Linked DNA regions of Coturnix japonica. The protein of the gene in region 2 interacts with the protein of the main gene of each other region in a biochemical or structural test. Links are inferred from orthologs where the notes say so. Each region holds a gene or a part of one and is shown on either strand. Other genes may lie near its edges.

What was found.
Region 1: the proteins of GRB2 (region 2) and REPS2 form a complex in vitro, tested with the Homo sapiens proteins (2 studies listed by BioGRID and IntAct, with this or other methods). The link is inferred for Coturnix japonica from reciprocal best matches to the Homo sapiens genes GRB2 and REPS2.
Region 3: the proteins of GRB2 (region 2) and EPS15 form a complex in vitro, tested with the Homo sapiens proteins (2 studies listed by BioGRID, with this or other methods). The link is inferred for Coturnix japonica from reciprocal best matches to the Homo sapiens genes GRB2 and EPS15.

The regions. Positions count from the first base shown.
Region 1 is NC_029516.1:109,325,848-109,329,365, reverse strand, and holds part of REPS2 (ralBP1-associated Eps domain-containing protein 2), read left to right. Parts: intron 1-513; coding exon 514-577; intron 578-2,822; coding exon 2,823-2,965; intron 2,966-3,518. UniProt on the Homo sapiens protein: Involved in ligand-dependent receptor mediated endocytosis of the EGF and insulin receptors as part of the Ral signaling pathway. By controlling growth factor receptors endocytosis may regulate cell survival.
Region 2 is NC_029533.1:9,398,535-9,402,052, forward strand, and holds part of GRB2 (growth factor receptor-bound protein 2), read right to left. Parts: intron 3,190-3,518; coding exon 3,092-3,189; intron 2,444-3,091; coding exon 2,321-2,443; intron 608-2,320; coding exon 439-607; intron 1-438. UniProt on the Homo sapiens protein: Non-enzymatic adapter protein that plays a pivotal role in precisely regulated signaling cascades from cell surface receptors to cellular responses, including signaling transduction and gene expression.
Region 3 is NC_029523.1:21,490,563-21,494,080, forward strand, and holds part of EPS15 (epidermal growth factor receptor substrate 15), read right to left. Parts: intron 3,027-3,518; coding exon 2,865-3,026; intron 2,240-2,864; coding exon 2,042-2,239; intron 1,731-2,041; coding exon 1,533-1,730; intron 1,001-1,532; coding exon 923-1,000; intron 670-922; coding exon 579-669; intron 1-578. UniProt on the Homo sapiens protein: Involved in cell growth regulation. May be involved in the regulation of mitogenic signals and control of cell proliferation. Involved in the internalization of ligand-inducible receptors of the receptor tyrosine kinase (RTK) type, in particular EGFR.

The DNA.
Region 1 (3,518 bases), on a different chromosome or scaffold from region 2:
CCTTACATTCTGTAAAATACCAACGTAGGTTTTGTAAGCTTGCATCCTGGCAGGGCTTCCAGAACACAAAGAACTTGTGCTGCCCCAGTAGCAATATGCCCATGTGCTTATTTCACATTTGGGCCATTCAAGGTGATGTTGTGGTTGAAGCAGCAGTTTGGGAGAATAGCAGACACTGCAGCACTGCACTGCCATGCACGTGACTTCTGAGTGAAGCAGAGCTGTTTGTGTCCGTTATTTCATCCTTGGTGACATGGTAATGTGTTAGTTATAATCACTATCAGTGAACCGTTTTTTCTTTTATCTATTTTTCCCATGTGGAGGGAATGGGGAAATGAGGTCAACAGCTCTGTCTGGATATCTCTGTCACAAATGGTCCAACAGCTACATTAGGATGCAGTTAATCCTAGTGCCTACTGAATGTACAGTAACCAGCTGCTTCTGGTGCAGATGCCCCAGCCAAAACAACTGGAGAATCAATTTCTAGCAGTTGATAAGTTGGTTTCCCAACAGGTTCCGTTGCAAAGAATTTCTTCACGAAATCAAAGCTGCCCATCCCAGAGCTTTCTCACATCTGGTAAGTACTGTAGTAGCGTTTGGGATCTGTATCCTGTTTTTCAAAAGATACTTAATTGAAGAATTCTTTTTGAATTAAAAAAGTGTCTTCAGTTCTAATTATCGCTCTTATCTCCAGAATCATTCTCAGGCCCAAGCAGCAGGGTGCTCATTGATCTTCCTGACACGCTTGTTTTCTGCAGGGATGTTTGCCTGCTCAGCAGGACGGGGAAGGCTTGAACAGCAGCGTAACTGAGAGATGTTCCTAAGTGTGATAAAGGAACTTCATTAGCTCAACAAAATGACATTTTTCGTGTAGAGAAAGACACATTTGGAATATTTATATGTGTTGTTGGCTTTATAGTTCTGGCTTTGTTTTGTCAGATGAGGCCTAATTAATGCCTAATTTTTGGTAAGTACAACTACGTAATTCATCAATGCTTTTCTAATGAAGCACCACACTTCCTTTTAATGAACTTATTTAGAAACAATTGCAGATGGAACTGTACATGATAAAATTTGACAAGGATTCTATAATCTTTTCATAAACAACATGGTGCTTTGTAAGTCAGTGTCTTCCTTGCATCTAGGTAGGAAGACAGTTTTAATTGCTGTTCAAAAATGCTGATGAGTTTTTACTTAATATAAGCTCTTGTGAGGATAGATATGAAGAAAAGCTTGCAAGAGCCTAAACATCTATTGAGGTCCAAGAATATGTCTGGAATCTTTTCAGGGCAGATTGTAAGTCAAGAAAATAAAAGTTAAAAGCCAACAACACAACAAAGCTGCTCGGGGAAGAGAAGAGAAGGCTCTGGGGAAGCCTCATTGTGGCCTTTCAATATTTGAAGGGACTACATAAACAGGAGGGGGTATAACTGTTTACATCGGTTGATAGTGATAGGACAAGGGAGCATGGTTTTAAACTGAGACAGGGGAAATTTAGGTTAGATACAAGGAGGAATTTTTTCACTCAGAGTGTGGTGACACAGGGGAACAGGTTGCCCAAGGAGGCTGTGGATGCCCCATTTCTGGAGGCATTCAAGGCCAGGCTGGATGTGGCTCTGAGCAGCCTGGTCTGGTGGTTGGCAACCCTGCACATAGCAGGGAGTTGAGACCAGATAATCTTTGAGGTCCTTTTCAAGCCAGGCCATTCTATGTTTCTGTGAAAAAAAACCAACAGAAACACAACCAAAGATGCATTCTGTTAGGGGAAGTCAGTATTTGAATTTGAAGAAAAGATTATATAAGAAGAACAGATTAAGCCAATATGTTAGTAGAACACGTTGTATTTGTATTGTTCACGTAGGTTATTCTCTGCACAAAATTCAAAGAAAGCATTCCTTTCTAGTATATAATAATAATTTTGTAGTGATTTATCAATTGTTCTACTCTGTTAAGTGTGTGGGATGTTTCAGTCTTTGTCACCATGACCTCAGCAGCTTGAAAATGTAATTGTTATTTTCAAAATGTCAAAACTTATATGTTTATTTATTTTAATAACTGTAACAGTAAGATATTACTTACTTCTGGCACAGGAGTTAATTTATATAATTGAATTCTTGGATACCTGAAGCCCAGGTTTATTGTTTTGTGAGCATTCTAGAGTTAAAGGAACAAGAGATTTAATGTGCAGTTAACAATATTGGGAAACATCAAGAACTTTAATTTACCTACTTTCTTGGGGTTAGTCTTTGTTGCTGATTAAACATTTGCTGAAGTCTGTTTTTAACTTTGCTTGAACTGGCTTAAGATCCTGCATGGGTTAGTCAAAACTGCTTTCAACCATTAGAAAGTTGATTTCACCCTAAGAAATGCAAGATATGTGCAAGGGCTGCTCCAGAAATAATGCTTTCTACTTTATTATGTTGGCCCGTGATGCCAGATGTGGATGTTTGCTTTAAACTAAATGAGGAGATATTTAGATTAGACATTAAGAGGTAATTCTTTACCCAGAGGATGGTGAGGCACAGCTGCCCAGAGAAGCTGTGGTGCCCCATCCCTGGAGGTTCTCAAGGCCAGGTTGGATGGGGCCCAGGGCAGCCCTGCCCACAGCAGGGGTTGGGGCTGGGTAGGCTGTAAGGTCCCTTCCAACGCAGTCTCTTCTGTGGTACTAGGAGTTTTAATAGTTACGATCAAGTAGAAAAAATGGTGGTTGTCCTCTATCAGAATACCTGTCTTCAAAGCTTTATTTCTCCATCCTCTGTGGTTGCATGTGTACATTTCCCTGAGGGGATGGCTTGGTAAATATGTGACTGTTGTACCTGCAGGGAGCTGAGTGATGTGGATTGCGATGGGGCTCTGACACTCCCTGAGTTTTGTGCTGCTTTCCATCTGGTGGTTGCAAGGAAGAATGGTTACCAGTTGCCTGAGACACTGCCTGAGACACTGCTGCCAGACTACCTCCAAGCAGGTAATGTACCTGCAACAGGTTTAAGTCCTACATCCTCCTCAGAAACTCACAATGCTTGTAAACAGGGTTTAATTTTCCACATTGCAGGTGGAGCTGAGTTCATTGCGTAGTGGCTCCCCACTTGGTTTTTAAGGCATGTGTTTCTAATTTGTGTTTATGATGCAGTTGTTGAAGAGTGGATGTATGAAAGCACAAAACAACAGTGTGACATGTAACAGTTACCTGCCTCTGTCTGATTGTCTGCTCCAGTGTACTTTAGGCTCTATTGTAGCAAAAGTGGCAGATGATTATGTGTAGCTATGATAATGCAGCAAGACAAGCAAGGCTTTTAACTCTTAGTTATTTTTTCTTATATATCTGTTTTTTGAAGATGTGTTTAAAGCAGGACTGGACTGCTTTAGAAATTACTGAATGCAATATGTTGTTGCATTCAGTCACCAGTTGTATGAAAGGGTGCTTTTTGTTTTAACTCATGTTATGTAATCCACAGCTTCTGCTGTAATTAATTTTTGCTAATGACGGGGATTACAACAGTTTGTGAAAAACAAGGATA
Region 2 (3,518 bases):
CCTGTAGCCACTTCTTCAGGCAAGACTACTACCAAAATTTCACTGCTTTTGGGGGGGGGGGGGATGGACGGGACGGGACAGTTCTGGCTATGAACCAGTACATAACTGTGCTTTCTTACTGTGTCCTAAAACAGGAGTAAACACCTTCTTAATTCACAGGAATTGGATTATCTTATTTCAACAGTACCCAAAAACATTAACACAAGCCAAATGTTCAGGCAGCAACAGTAACACCACCAGAAATGGATACTAAGTTTTAGCAGGTAGGCTGTGCACAAACATCCAGATTATTTTCCAGTACAACTCTGGCAGCAAGATCCAAAAATAAACTCCTACAGGTAAAAAGTCAGCTTTTCTCCATCACCATCAAGATACAATCCCAGATGCAACCCATGGTTGCATTAGTTTAAATATGCTCTGAACAAACAGTTCTCTTACCTGTGGCACCTGTTCAATATCTCGTAGAAATATTTGCTGGTTCCTGGAGACAGATGTGGATCTGTGATAATCTACCAGCTCGTTCAAAGAATTGAACTTCACCACCCAGAGGAAATACTTGCCAGCCCCATCTCTAAGCACCTTGAAGTGCTGCACATCATTTCCAAACCTGTGGGAAATGAGCAAACAATACAGAGAAGAACACAGTCACTGAGCACTCTTCTAGGATTGTGAGACTTTACAACACAAAAATCATTCGGGACATAGCTGGTGACAATGATTGCAGGTATCAATTGGCTGCTGTGAAGCAGACCCTTGAAAACATACAAAAAGTGCTGGGAAAAGAACTGCCACAAGTACGGCAGGACTGTCTCTAAGCATGGAGTTACAAAAAAAAAATGATGTATTGCAAAACAGACAGACTTTTCCACTTCTATATTTTGACATGTGATGGCATTCAACTTTTATTCTACGTAAAGTGCAACTCCAAAGTTTTTCCAGATGAACAGCACGTTAGCATTTTTACTTTATTCTGAAACAAAAACACTGAAAATGGGTGAGGAGTACATTCTCCACCTGGCATCAAGAGCTTAAAGTGCAGGCATAGTCTTGGCTACAACGTTAACATGAAACAATCAGTGAGTACTGCCTTTGCTGTTTCCTCTTCAACCTGAGAGATTCTCATCATTTCAAATCTTGCAAATCACTGTTTGGGGGTGAGTGGAAGAAAGCTTTTTCTAAATTAATCCACCAGGAAAAAAAAAAACCAAACTACCACCAGGTGGCAACACTAAGCTGACAAGATAAGCAGAGCTACAGTCAAAACCAAGTTTCATGAAGGAAGTTGATGTCTGCAATGGAGCTCCCATTCGTATCTTGTATTCCAGCTCAGATTATTGTACCCAGCAGAACTATAAACACCTTTCTAAAAAGAGTGGTTTTAATTCAGTTTGTTGGCTGGATCAAGACTGGTGTACAGGATGACAAAATCTGGGTACAGCCCAAAGATGAGCCAAAAATACAGCAAACAAGGAACTGTGCGTGAATAATCAATATAAGATACTAAAGAAAACCCTGTTCATTTCTGGAAGGAAAGGGGAAGGTTACAGAAAGTTAAGAAAGATAAAAATCAGCTGCTGAGGATGGAATTCCTTCCTTCCTATGCTACCTTACATCCCATACTCTTCCAACTTTTTAATACTTCAATTTATGGCGGCTTATACAGAGCTGTGAGATGGTTAAACATGGCTCACATGTTAACTATCAGAAATTGCTGCTGATTAAAAGTTAGCATTTCTAGAAATGTTATACAAGGATGGGAACTGTTCCTGCCTACCTTCAATGTTACTAGACAGAAAGAAATTCCTCTATATTGAAATTCCATTAATGGAATGCATTTGAGAAATGGAAAAGAATTTGTTTTCATTAGCTCCATGTCCCAGTGCTGGCTAAGATGAATATCCCCAAAGCATGTGCCAAGCAGTCATGAAAAATATTTGGAAGTGTATTATCCAAAGACAGAAGAGAATAATGACTTGTTCTATGGAAGAGGAACAAAGGAGGATGGAAAGCAGTATGTACAAACTGGGCAGTTCATAGTTGGAGGAAGGAGAAATGGGATCCACAAATTAACAAATAGTGCCTGAAAACACTTAAGTCAGACAGCAACACACCACCAAGTCAGCCATGTAGGCTCATTACAAAACAGAGCTTATCTGTACTTCCTCTTTAATAAAGACAAAAATACATTATCACCAGAAGAATAGGTATGCTATCTTGATTATTGCCGCTCCTCAGCACTGATAATCACTTATCTATCCAGGAGTCAAAATGAGCATCAAGTGCCCTGATTTCCACACGATTATTTCTGGGCACTACTTACTTGACCGAGAGAGAGAAGTCCCCAGGAGCACTCTCGCTCTCCCTGATAAGGAAGGCACCATCGTGTCTCTGTTTGCCTAACATCTCTTCAGCCTTCGCTCGGGGAATCTTTCCGAAGAACCACCTGTGGAGTAAGCAAGAAGAAAACAGAGAAAGTTAAGGAGTTGAACTGTCTTATGGAAGAGCCCAACACAGGTATCCCCACGGAGATCAGATGAATTCTAGCAGAAATGACTGAACTGCATCTATTTATTGTTAATCTACTACAGGCTACCAAACTATGCAACTTCTCACATTTTGTCCTAGCAGTGAAGCTACCATGATTTCATGAGCACATGCTCACAATAGCCCTATTTCATCTAATTTAGGGAAGCAGAAATGCAGTAAGAGTGAAATCCTTAACATATAAAGGCATTTTCAATTACTTTCCTTCTAAATTCTCTTGAAAAAATACTTACACCTCCTTCCAACAACACTGACACCAGCTCTAAGAAAAGGAATGCTCTCTTTCTTACACCTGGTCAGCTGGCTGAAGTTTGTTTTTGTATGCCCTGCTGGACTACTTAGAGAGCTCTTCATTATTGCTCAGTAAACACGATAGTATACAAACTTTTTGTAATTTCCTCAGGTTGCTAATGCACTAATGAAGACTTCCAGCACTGCTGACACATGATCCAGATGCCATCAGCAGTTTAAATGTCTTCAGAAAAGGTCAATTTATCTATGCTTAAAACCAACCAAACACAGGCACTACCACCAAGGCTCTACTTACGGATGTGGTTTCATTTCTATGTAGTTCTTGGGAATGAAGCCATCTTTTCCATTGAGTTCTGCCTTGTACCAATTCTGATCACATTCTTCATTCAAAACCTGAAGGAAACAAAAAAATAAGCTTACTACATTTCAAGTTCCAGCAAAACAGACGAAGACACAAGCTTATTCTTTCCACTTGTGTCTCAAAGATTGTTCATATAAGACGAGCCCTTAAAAACACATAGTCAGCCATCCCAATCCATCACATTTTATCAGCCTTCAAAACAAGGTGGATCAATAATTTATAATAAACTCCATGCATTAATACACAAATCATTATTTCAAATCATACTCTCTCTAGAAGTTTTGTTGCTTTATTTTTCATTGCTTTTCTGCCAAGCGGTGCAGTGCAACAGACAAGGCAGGTACACTGACTAAAAACAGCC
Region 3 (3,518 bases), on a different chromosome or scaffold from region 2:
GCTTATTTAGCTGCATACATCTGCTTCAACAGTTAATCCAAATTAACTCTTCCCATATTCCAAGTGTCTCTATGCAGACAGATCACTCCTTCCAATGTTATAAGAAAAAAAACTGGAGCAACAGAATTCTTGAGCGGCAAGTTCTTAAAATAAAGCATAGCACTTCCACAGATGAACAGATGGTACAGTTCCACATTATCTTTTTTTGAGTGCCTAACTTGCCATAAGTAGGCCACAGCCATTCACTCTCAGCCACCCACACTCTCCCCACACCACAGTTCACTGAACCCTCAGATGACCTGTTTGTGACTCTGTGCTGCAAATTAGATCACTGACACCACATGTATCACAAGTATGCCCACACCTTTAATACCAAAATGAGACCTCCAGAGGGGAAAAAAATAAAAGAGGCACTCAGAGAAAAAAAACCACACAGGTAAAGCAAAGAGATACACCGTAGAACTCTCATTTATATTTCTGTACTGCTGTTGGCTCTTGTCACTCAAGTACTTTCACATTTATTTCATAAAGACTAGAAGTTTAATCTGTCACATTTTTGGAGAGAAGAGTGTACTTACTGCCAACAAAAGGGTCGGACTGGAAGAACTCTAAGCTTGCTTCAGAAACTATATCAGGCAATGGGTGAGATTCAGCATCAAATGGATCCTCCTGAAGAACCCAAAAGAAGCAAAGAAAGGTGTGAAGTCTGAGACATTTATCTCATTCTCTTATCATTTATTAACTTCTTAAAGCTGAAATGAGTTTGAATTCATCAAGACTCAACAGAGAGCCACAGCATTCCCCAGTAAAAATCAACCTGCTATATAAGATGAATGCATTTGTGGCATCATGCCCTAGTTATTTTGTGGGTTTTTTTGTTTTTACATTCATTTCTTCCTCCCTTAAATTTGAACAAACTCACTTTTCTTGTAACAGTTCCAGCTGGAGTCTCTTTGTCTTCTTCTGCAGCAGCAGTTGTTGTTTCAGGACTATTTCTTGGCTACGTAAGGATAAAAGCAATTCAATGTAAGTAAACAGAACACTACACTGCTTACTCCATTTTATAGAGCACTACACTGCTTACTCCATTTTAAGTACCAAACTGTTGTAAGGATATACTAAAGGATACCTCAAGAGGTTCATACTTAGAAAACACTGAAGTGTTTGATAAATTGAGACAAAGAAAATAGACATTTAAATAGCAAGACAGCATTCAGATTTCTGTACTATTCTTCATTCTATTTCTGCTGCACCAATTGGAAACAGCTGCTCATATTTAACATTAATTTTGCTCTTCAATTTATGACATTTAGCTTTGGAAACAAATGCACAAAAAGAATTCTGTTGCCTCTTTTTCTGTTTCTTTCTTATCAACTTCCAGATCTCTGGAATACTCCCTCAGAATAACATCCTGAAAGCTCACTTTGCAAATGCTTAAAAACAAAATACAATCAATCTTAATACATTCTTAATTTATTCCAACTTCACAGCTGCATTGCATCACAATTACACAGGCAAAACACTTTACTCACTGGGGATACGTTGTTTATTTGTTCATCTTCAGCTATGCTTTCCCTTTCAGCATTCTCATTAAGGTTAGCAGTTTCGCTGCTGCTGTTGCTGAGACTAGAATGATCCGCAGTTCCATTAACAAGTACATTCTGTGGCTGAGAGTGCCAACTAAATTGGTTACTTTCCAGTTCTTTCAGCTCAAGAAGTTTTGTCTGCACCTGTAAATGGAAATAATGCATGTGTATCAGCGCAGTAGTACATGGAAACTAGAATACAACTTAACCTTCTTAAATGTGAGATGGAAGGTATATAGCTGTAATTCTCATGCAAAATCAAGTACAATATAACTATAGAATTTCATAGAGAACTACAAAACTAATCTAGAAGAGATATGGTAGACCTGAGAATCTGCTGTGCCAAGGAAGCTGGCCATACTGCTGGTGATCACTGGCATTTTTTTCCTGTTTTTTGTATTTTAAATTATTATTTTTCCTTTTTTTTTTCCCCCTCCCTTTTCACAGTGCCTTACCGAATTGATTTCCTGTTGTGAATCTTGCAGATGTTGCTGAAGAGGTCCCAGCTGTGCTTTCCCAGACTCTATGCAATGCTCAAGCTCTGCAGTTTCTTGCTGCAGACGACTCAGCTCCTCTTGAGCTTTGGTCAGTTCATCTTCATATGCTGATATCTTTGTCTCCTGGCTTGTTATTTCAGCTTTCAGCATGGCAATCTAAAGCATAAACAAGGATTCCAAAGCCAAATTAGGAAAACAACAACAACAACAACCAACATCACCACACCAAAAATATCCCACACCTCCAAATATATCCAGCAAAGGCTAGGATTTATGACCAGATTTATGACCAGCTATAGCAGAGATTTCAGACCATACTCTACCAGAAGATTAATTTGCTATTTGTCCCAATGAGATTAAGCTGTTTTCCTGACCAATACAAATATTACTAATAGTAAAGATATATATATATATATAAAAACCACAACAAAACCAACTCTGAAATTTTATGTTAGAATTTTTTTTTTTTTAAATCCCAAGAAATCAGTCCTGGTAATTAGTGTTTCTAGTTACATATACATTGTGTTACACATTTATGTCATTTGTTTGTACACAACCTTACATGTGTGCAAACATATCTTATTGCAGTTGTTGGCGCACTGAGACATAAAGAAGTCAGTGAAATAACTGATGTCTCTGCTGGTCACAAAATCCTGAAACTCAGCCTGTTTAATCTTGAAAGATTTTTCTCCTTTCCCAACCACCACAACACACTGCAAGCATGCAATATTCAAAATGCAGCAGTTCTCCTTAAGGGCTGAAGCCACTAACTAGACCTTACCAAGTGGGCCTCCTCTGCACATTTCTGCCTGATATCATTGAGTTGCTCTTCCAACTTGGCCTTCTGCTCATCAAGATCATTGAGTATTTCCTGTGCTTCCTGTTTCTGAGCTTGCAGCTTTTGCAGATTACTGCTCTCCCGTTTTACTTCATCTTGTAGATCCTGTGATAGAACAGATTAGCTTTGCCTTTGTTCACTGCTCCTCCTCTGATCATTAACTTTCATAGTATAAATTGTGGTGATGATCAGTCAGATTTCAGAGTATCAACGTGTTACCTTTCAAAGGCTAATATTTCACGTGCATCACACAAGCTTTAATTCTAAGAGAAAAATAGTTATTTGCTTTTTCTTTCATTAAAAAAAAAAAAAAACCACAAAAACAACCCAATACATTAAAATTTCATTGAAACACTGAAGATCATACCACTAATCAGAGATTACAACTACATAATCAGTGGGAGGCAAGCTTCATTTCTGAATCCAGAAGTCATCCTTTGTTTAGGCTGCTACATTCTCTCTTCTATATTTTAGCAATAAGTTTTATTGAGCTCCTCAGTAACTGAATTCTTTATTATGTTCCTTTCCCCTCAGAAACACACACCAACAATACAAACTCATTTTAGTAGCAAGGTGAAGAAAAAAATCAGTGCCTTA